2 linked regions of the Arabidopsis thaliana genome follow. The protein of the gene in region 1 interacts with the protein of each later gene in a pairwise test. Each region holds a gene or a part of one and is shown in the gene's direction. Other genes may lie near its edges.

Region 1 (5,102 bases):
AAGTGTAAACTCATAGTATTATATTTGTTTTTTTACTATAAGTGTCAACAAGGCTTTCTATAAGTAGAATGTATAAAGGCAACACTTTAGTAAATTGGTTCAGTCTAAGAGACTGACTATGTGGAATTTTTTATTAATACAAAAACTCAACTGGCTACATATATAAACGAAGAAACAGATGTTCCCAATAAAAAAAACTTTAAAAAAAAAAAAAAAAAAATAGTTCAAAAAAATAAGGAAAAGACGAGTAAATATGAAATTAATTAGAGTGGACGACTAAGGAAGCGTACATAAATACGAGGGGAACTTAAGACATTCTTCTTCTCTCTCACTGTCTCTCTCACACACACAAACTCGTAGCTAGCTTCTATGGCAACCCTTTTTTCGTAGTCACCAACATATAAATCTCTTTGATATAAGTGAAGAAGTGTGATATATAGTATATAGTATATACAAATATATATGAGCATGTGCAGGTCTAACATGGAAAGCAGTGAATCTGGAGAGATTATAAATGGAGAATGCGATGTTTCAACATCCGTCAAAGGAGAAAATAGCGGCAGCGCCAAATTCTCTGCTGGTCTCCGTCGCATCCCTTTCAATGAGGCTTGTTTCTTTTTCTTTAATTTCTCTTTTCTTGTTCTTACATTTTCTTCAACAAAAAAATTCCAATTAGCTTTGACAAGTCATCACTCTGCTTATTCTTTGATTTCATAGTTTTCTTGTGTTTTTGTTTGTACTACTAGTTTTCGTGATCAGGACCATCCTAATATAGAGACGTTTGCTACGTTTAACCAGAGAATTTGGTGATTTTTGATGGATTATTATATTGTTTTCAGTCACTTTCGCAGTATTTTTTGGGTCTGGTAAATAATATGTAGTTCTTGGAAATTGATCTTATACTGGATTGAATGCTTCTTTTGACTGTTTTTATAGCATTTTAACCGAATATAATGCATCCCTTTTAAAAACATAGCATGAATAATGCTTCATCTATCTTTCACGTACTTGAGAAATACAATGTTGAAAATTCATTTATATATAAGTTTTCTCTGTATATATATATATATATATATATGTGTATATATGTTCATATTTATGCCTAAAGCGTTACTACTTACTACTAGTATGATAAATCCTCACTTTCATGGACTGAAAGAGATGCTTTTTGTGTTGTACTTACTTTATATTTCTTGACAGTTGGGTTGTACTTACTTAGGAAAGTGTTCTATATAGGTTTCCTCTCACTCTATTCTTTTTATCAGTTTCTTTACTTAGTACAAATATAATCTAGTTACTTTCCGATTTATTTTCTTGAAATCCTTATCCGATTGTTTATGAAATGTCAATAGTAGTTCATGATACTTTTACAAGTATCTATGCGTAAAATATTTTTTATATGTTTTTAAAATGTGGATATTCTTAATGAAGATATCATGAAATGAAAGGTAATATCTAAGCTGATTTTGTTTTTTCAAAAAGAAAACAAAAAAGGTGAGCTTTTAAAAACCCATGATGATTTTTATTTAAAAAGATCCTAGAATGTTGGTACAGTTAGCCATTCGCTTTTCTGGCACTTGTGAATTTGATTATATATTCAGTTCTAAAAGTTATAGAGTTTAAACCTTTTTCTCTTCCTTTTTCAACTTTCTCATCCCAGTCCCAGTGGCCATGTGATGCGACCATCTTCCTCGTGCTTACAAATTGTTCTTAATTTTATAATATGATAAAATATCATTTTCCGTATTGTAATGTAATGTCCTTCTGTTTCACAATAAAATTAATTTAAGATTTTATTTGACAAAAAGAAACAATTAAGGTACAATGATTTTTTTAATAACTCATGTATAAAAAGCTCATATAAATACCATTTTCATACAACTTATTAGAAAAGAAATTTGTTTGTTTATTGTGATAAAAATATTAATAAATGATATACCAGAAAATTTAATATTTTTAGTGAGTGCAATATCGTTAATTAAACGAAATTAAATCACGTACAAAATATTAAACATGATTAAAAAAGGATATTAAAGACTAAATCATATTTTGAGGATAATTTTTTTTTTTTTAATATACAACATACTCGTGTTGCGCTCTTTCTATACACTAATATCTTCTCGAGTGCGTTTTGCTAGAACTAGAAGCCTATAGAACATGTGAAAAAATAAAGAGTTGTTCAATTGAAAAACCTAACAAAAATAACATAATTTTTTAATTTTATTTTTCCCATGCAGGTGGGAGAGGAGATGGCGTCACTCACAAAAATAGCTTGCCCGATTGTGATGACATCACTCCTCATATTCTCAAGATCAATAATCTCAATGTGGTTCTTGAGTCATCTCGGAAAAGTCGAACTCGCTGGTGGTGCACTCGCTATGGGCTTTGGAAACATCACTGGAGTCTCCGTACTTAAAGGCCTTTCCGTTGGTATGGACCCAATCTGTGGCCAAGCCTTCGGAGCCAAACGTTGGACCGTACTTAGCCACACGTTTCAGAAAATGTTCTGTCTCTTAATTGTCGTCTCTGTTCCAATCGCCGTTACGTGGCTCAACATCGAACCCATTTTCCTACGGTTGGGTCAGGACCCAGATATTACCAAGGTAGCCAAAACCTATATGCTCTTCTTCGTCCCTGAGCTCTTGGCTCAGGCCATGCTCCATCCGCTTCGAACGTTCCTTAGAACGCAAGGCTTAACATCACCGCTCACGATATCTGCCATTGTATCCATTCTTCTTCATCCTCTCTTCAACTACGTCTTTGTCGTGCGTATGCGTTTAGGCGTTAAGGGTGTGGCCATCGCAATGGCTTTCAACACTATGAATATCGACGTGGGACTGCTCGTTTATACGTGCTTCTCGGATTCTCTAATCAAACCGTGGGAAGGGCTCGCTTTGCGGTCACTTTTCCGCGGCTGGTGGCCGCTGCTTTCTCTAGCCGCACCAAGCGCTATCTCGGTGTGTTTGGAGTATTGGTGGTATGAGATCATGCTTTTTCTTTGTGGGCTTCTTGGGAACCCTAAAGCAAGCGTGGCCGCCATGGGAATATTGATTCAGACCACCGGGATACTATACGTAGTCCCGTTTGCTATTAGCAGCGCCATTGCAACCCGTGTAGGTCACGCTCTTGGAGGCGGCCAACCAACACGGGCACAATGTACGACCGTGATTGGCTTGATACTCGCGGTAGCGTACGGTTTAGCAGCTGCTGTTTTTGTGACCGCGCTTAGGTCGGTTTGGGGAAAGATGTTCACGGACGAACCGGAGATTCTCGGGCTTATTTCGGCTGCGCTTCCGATCTTGGGGCTTTGCGAGATTGGAAACTCGCCACAGACGGCTGCTTGCGGAGTCTTGACTGGGACGGCTAGGCCTAAAGATGGAGCACGCGTTAACCTATGCGCATTCTACATTGTGGGCTTGCCTGTGGCAGTTACGACCACGTTTGGGTTTAAGGTTGGGTTTCGTGGGCTATGGTTTGGACTGTTATCTGCGCAGATGACGTGTTTGGTAATGATGCTTTATACGTTAATCCGTACGGACTGGTCTCATCAAGTGAAGCGGGCAGAGGAACTTACCTCCGCTGCAGCCGACAAAAGCCATTCGGAAGACGAAACCGTCCATGCTGAAGTACAAGACGATGATGATGTGAGTAGCAATGATCTGGAGATTGGTTTACTACAAAATACGAATTGACTAGTTTAGCTAGAAATGTTAAAATTATCAATCGACAATTTTTAACGGATTGTTAATGATATAGGAAACTTTTTTTTTTTGGCAAACTAAAAATACCGAAGATAGATTTGTGTCCGAACTGTTAACTAAGATTTTGTGAAAAGACTCAGCCATTTAATTGGTTGAGCTTAGCTTTTTCTAACACGCAGAAGTATGTAGTGAGAACAGTTGTGACGAATCTATCAAGGATCAATCAAGATCAATCACAATTCTACTTATGTAAACTATATATTCTGTAATTAGAAGTCTCTAGAACATCTAGTCTGTATATAAACAATGTAAATCATCTCAATACAAATCATCCAATTCTATATTCTTTATATGGTATCAGAGCATCATCGATACCTAAAAATAAAAAACCTAAAAACAGCCGCCTCTCTCCTTTCTTTCTTCTTCTCCCCCGTTGATTTTTTTATTCCTCTGTTTTTCAAACTTCAACCATGTCGAATGTTTCTTCTGAAACCGTCAACCTCAACAACACCTCCATTGTTCACATGAACATGTCGAATGTGACAAAACTTACGGCCTCCAATTACATAATGTGGAGCCGCCAAGTCCACGCTCTCCTTCACGGCTACGGTCTCACTCAATACCTTGATGCGACAAAAGCTGCTCCAGCTCGTGAGATTACCGTCAACGACGTTGCCTCTGTGAATCCTGAGTATGAAGCCTGGAGTAGACAAGATCAATTGATCTTCAGTGCTCTCATCGGCACTCTCTCTCTCACCGTCCAACCAACGGTGTCCCGCGCCGCTACCTCTGCTGATGTTTGGGCCACTCTTGCTGGTACCTATGCCAAACCGAGTCGTGGCCATATCAAACAGCTCCAACACCAAATCAAACAATGGAAGAAAGACACCCGCACCATCGACGAGTACGTTCAAGGCTTTATCAATCGATTTGATCAGTTGGCATTAATTGGCAAAATCATTGACCATGAAGATCAAGTTGATTACATTCTCGGGGGTCTGCCAGAAGACTACAAACCCATTGTTGATCAGATGGAAGGACGTGACACACCACCAAATGGATGTTTAACAAACAGTTGTGACGAAGATGGATGTTTTATCCAAATGGCTTTGAATAGTGTATAGAACAAGCAACAAGCCCGATTCGGCCCAAACCCAACCCCATTTAATCATATGTGGTTTTAGTAGTTTAAATAAGCTACTTTGAGTCTTTGACAACTGTTCTTCATATCCATCATAAATTGTGTAGCATTTTACATTTTACATTTTACGTTTGAAACTTAATCATAAGTTTTGTGAATCAAAGTTAATTGATAAAAAATCACTCTTAATACTTTTCCACGTCTACATCACTGTCATTTTCATTTCAGACTTGAGGCATTCATTTTTCACCATGTTTCAG
Region 2 (4,960 bases), on another chromosome or scaffold:
ATTCGAAAAAGAAGAATGCAATCGAAAGAATCACAAAACAAATTGGTGTGTAGGAAAGAAAGAGAGACAATTTGTGGAAGTTTTCTCCTTGATTTGTGTCTTTGCTTTGTAGTCTTGTACCGATTTTTTTATTACCCTAACTTAAGTATATTAATTGCGTCTTTCTCACTACACAACACATTATATTCCAAATATCAGTTTTAAAATAAGAAAATCATAATTTGAAATATACATTATCTTAAAGCCCAGTGGGCCATTTCCAGAAACTTAAACTCTAACTGGGTCGGGTCGGGTTTTGTTAGGTTGATGATGCGACAGATTCTCGGGTCCCAGATTCTCTGAATCTCTCCCTCTTTCTTCCATTTCCCAGAACTCTCAGAGTTTCGCCACTTCTTCTGAAGAATCTGAAAGATCACAAAGTCCAAAGAAAAAAAATGAGCGTGATCACAACTCCAATAGAGACCCTGCACCTAAAGTCAACACTTCGTCTTCTACCACGAGCTGTTTATCGCAGTCAACGGATTCAAGTTTTCCCGCCCAACATCTTCTCGAACACTTCTCTGAGTTCTCCACTTCGCATCGACCCAATCTCTCAAGGTTTGTTCATCTTACTCTCATCGATCCTCAGGCGTTTATGCTTGTTGGGTACCTGCAAAATTTACACTTTCTTCTCTCATGGTTTTCTTCAACCTACTATATACACAGTTGGCGGATCGAGGAATTTGTGGCGTAGATATGCATCTGATAATTTCTCGGAGATGGGTTTGGATCCTGGAGCTGATCCATTCAAGGTGTGCGCTATGGGATCTTTCCTTTTCCATTCTATGTTATGTTGGGTTTGAATAGTCTTCTCAAAATGTGTCATCTTTAATGTCAAAATGTGATTTTGCACTATTGAAGACTTGTTAATTATCCTACTTTTGAATCTGATTAGCTAAAAATCATCCCTGGATCACAGTTTTGCTACTTTGTTCTTCGTTTGCTGATGATTTCAGTTGTTAAGAATTTTATGTTACTTCCGAGAACCAACATGAATCTAGTAAGTGGCTTGCAGGTTATTGAGAAGCCTTCTATAGTGGATAGAATGAAGAAAGCAAACTCAATTCTTCCTCATGTAGTGTTGGCGAGTACAATATTAGCTCTTATCTATCCTCCTTCTTTCACTTGGTTTACGTCGAGGTTCTTCCCATTGGAACAAGGTCAAATTGATCTAAGACTTTGAATTGTAGACATGAGGTTTGCTAAAAAGCTCTTCTTTACTCTCCTGTTATTTTAGGTACTTTGTGCCCGCTTTAGGTTTTTTGATGTTTGCGGTTGGTATCAATTCAAACGAGAAAGACTTTCTTGAAGCTTTCAAAAGACCAAAAGCTATCCTCCTCGGTTATGTTGGACAATATCTCGTAAAGCCTGTCCTAGGTTTCATCTTTGGCCTAGCTGCTGTTTCTCTTTTCCAACTCCCAACTCCAATTGGTAAAAGCTCCCTGTCTCTCATCATTCAAGACTCTTAACCTATCTCTCACATTAACCAATCTTTCTCAATCTCTCAGGTGCTGGAATCATGTTGGTATCATGTGTTAGTGGAGCTCAGTTGTCAAACTATGCGACATTCCTAACTGATCCAGCATTGGCACCTCTTAGCATCGTCATGACATCTCTATCAACCGCTACTGCGGTTCTTGTCACACCGATGCTATCACTCCTGCTCATTGGGAAGAAACTACCCGTTGATGTAAAAGGAATGATATCCAGCATTCTTCAGGTTGTAATCGCACCAATCGCTGCAGGATTGCTACTAAACAAGTGAGAGATATAGCTACAAGCCTACAACTAGAAATAACCACAAGTTGTTTCTCTAAGTATAACCATTTTTATCTCCTTTTTGTTTCTTCTTTTACAGGTTGTTCCCAAAAGTATCAAATGCAATCCGACCATTTCTCCCGATTCTATCGGTTCTCGACACAGCTTGCTGCGTTGGAGCACCACTCGCATTGAACATAAACTCGGTCATGTCTCCATTTGGAGCCACCATATTGTTACTAGTAACAATGTTTCATCTCTCAGCTTTCCTCGCTGGATACTTCCTTACCGGTTCTGTCTTTAGAAACGCTCCAGACGCTAAAGCCATGCAAAGAACATTGTCCTATGAAACTGGTACTAACTCTTTATGGTATTGGAAAATCTTATCAAGAAAGTACAATTTGGTTTAAAGATTTGAGAAGAGAAATGTGTTTGTGAATATATCAGGAATGCAGAGTAGCCTTTTGGCTCTAGCGCTTGCTACTAAGTTCTTTCAAGATCCTCTTGTGGGGATTCCTCCTGCTATATCTGTAAGTCTCATATCCTTTTGACATAGCATAATCTTTTATTGATGATGATTATAGAGATTTTTGTTTTGTTTTGCAGACGGTGGTAATGTCATTGATGGGGTTCACTCTCGTTTTGATCTGGTCTAAGGAAAAGAGTAACACATTTTAACATTTTGATTTTGTTTCACTCCACATTTTGATTATACATATATATATGTACTACAAATAATTGGAAAATTCTTCTTGTAATATAAATAATTCAATACAGAATTTGAGATTTTTAATGTACTAATCTCCATTTTGTCTTTATATTTTTCTCTTCAACTTCAAAGATGGGAAGTAATTAGAAAAACCAGAATTTGTTAATAAACCGATTAGTTTAATTTTGTTTGTGAAAATGATAAAAGACGGTTCAACAGCAAACCGGTTTAAAATTAAACCAGAACTTGGGAATTGGAAATTGGAGAAAAATCTCAGCCATGGCGATTGCTTCAACAGCCACCGTTCTTTTCTGCTGCGCCAAACCCAATTTCCGGCGAATTCATTCTGAGAGCCGTCCAGCTTCTTCTCTCACCACCTCTAACGAACCTGTAATTCGGATCCGAAGCCGCAGTTTAATTCATGACCCGGTTGCGCTGTCGGGTCTTATCGGAACCAGTTTGGTTGCGGCTGCTTTCATCACGGCGGGACCAGATGCTACTGCTTTGGCGGCGGTGGTGGATTCTCTTCAGCTAAGCGAACCGTCCAATGCGTTGTCTTTACCCACTTGGGCCGTTCATGTTTCCAGCGTTGTCGAATGGTTCTCTTCTTCTTCCTTTGCTTTATTGATTGAAATTCTCACTTAGAAAACATTTGACATTTGATCTATAGTGACACAAGAGAGTATTTGATGTTGTGGGTTTTTCGAGTTTTTGATATCATTATGAGAGAAGCTTCATCTACATATAAAGTCTCGATCTTTCACTCACAATGTAGATTAAGCTTCTCTCATTATGGTTTGAAATGCAGTTGGAGCTAACAAACAAGAAAAATGTAATGTCTTTCTAATTCTGGTGTTGTTTTTACTAAAGGATTACGGCGATGGCATTGGTATGGAAGTATGGAGAAAGAAAGGGTTATGAGTCTTGGAAAGGTCTCTCATGGGGAATGGTGAGAAAGCTCTAAGCCGTTTTCCTAGATTACATGATTTCATTTTTCTGAGCTTTTTGGTTGTTCTTAATCAGGTACCTTTGCTTGGTGGAGCTCTCTGTGCATGCACATGGCATTTCTTCTACAACGATGAATCTCTTGAGGTCAAGAAACTCTTGACTCCAACTTTTAGCTATAAGTCTGTGATATGTTTCGTTTGCTTCTTCACTCCTACTTAATGGTGTAATTGTTGGACTGCATTATCAGGTGTTGGTCGCTCTTCAGGCAGCACTAACGGTGTTTGGTAATATCACTCTCTGCATTGCTGCCTTTCGGATCAACAAGTTGTCATCCAAAATTGAAGTCTCTGAAAAGCCATGATGGCTAAACCGATCAATATGAGCAAAGTATAATTGAATTATTAATTGGAGGATCACTAAGATTCTTTTCCCCTTTGAAAAGTTCTATGAGATTCTATGTCAACGATTTAAGTATATTATATAGTCTTTATATGAGGAAGATCCATGTGCATTCAACCTATATCAGTAACCCAAGTTACACAGATTTAGTCTTATCCAGAATCTAGAGTTTGAATTAAATTATAAATTTTGGTTACGTGATCATAAGAACTTCTCCATTTTTGTATAAATGAGATCAAGAAAACAGAAGAAAGAAAGTGCCAAAACTGATAACGTTTTTCCCAGTGTGGCAAGTTTGGCTAAAATTATAAATAAAAGTAGACATCAAAATGCAGATATTGAGATTATCTTAACTCAAAATGCAGATATTGAACGTTTAACATTATCTGAACTAATTATCTTGTTTTGTTATATCATCTTAAATCGAGACCATATATAGTAAAACATGCCAACAAACTCAATCTAGTTAGTTGAAGAAAATCATTGTGTATAACTTACATCTGTCACACACAAAATTGAATCTTTACGTGGGACAGTACGACAATTTTTTTTTTTTTTAAATCCGAATCTCTTGAAGTTAAAAACTATAAGCAAAAATGTGGGGTGGTTGAGCTATTTCTGGTTAGGATCTTAATAAGAAGAAAAAAAATGAACGTAAGTACATAAGTTTAAAATAATAAAATTTTCGAATTATTAAAATAAGATACCAAGTTCCACTTAAATCTTGACAACGCGTTAATCGTGTTTAGACCAAGCCAGGGCGTGATGAAGAAGGCATATCTTATCTTTATCTTCCCCAAAAGTCCACCAATAATACCATCTTAATCATTACTTAAACAACCCCAAAGGCCATTTATACATTTAAATTTGTTAATTTTACCTATTAGTTTGTACTCCTATTATGGGAAAAAAAAACCTACATCATTTTTTTTTGGATCAAACTGGATAAAAAATGTCAATTAATAAAAAAATGGAAAGTCAGAATTCAAAAATAAAGGAAATATACACGTCAGCTACGAAAGTACAGTTCTGACTTCATAACTTTGGAAATTTTACAAAACAGTGCCATTATTATTCCGTTTAGCTGCTCGATGATAAATTATAACC

The links.
Region 2: the proteins of AT2G38510 (region 1) and AT4G22830 interact in a protein complementation assay, tested with the Arabidopsis thaliana proteins (one large-scale study listed by BioGRID).

Annotation. Positions count from the first base shown.
Region 1 is NC_003071.7:16,121,754-16,126,855, forward strand, and holds AT2G38510 (MATE efflux family protein), read left to right. Parts: upstream 1-2,231; coding exon 2,232-3,692; 3' UTR 3,693-3,782; downstream 3,783-5,102.
Region 2 is NC_003075.7:11,989,151-11,994,110, reverse strand, and holds AT4G22830 (YCF49-like protein), read left to right. Parts: upstream 1-2,682; 5' UTR 2,683-2,703; coding exon 2,704-2,809; coding exon of another isoform or gene 2,810-2,867; coding exon 2,868-3,105; intron 3,106-3,376; coding exon 3,377-3,455; intron 3,456-3,529; coding exon 3,530-3,598; intron 3,599-3,701; coding exon 3,702-3,815; 3' UTR 3,816-4,047; downstream 4,048-4,960. Other genes in the region: AT4G22840 (Sodium Bile acid symporter family), read left to right, coding at 435-597, 706-791, 1,055-1,179, 1,277-1,470, 1,548-1,800, 1,898-2,151, 2,245-2,327, 2,404-2,475.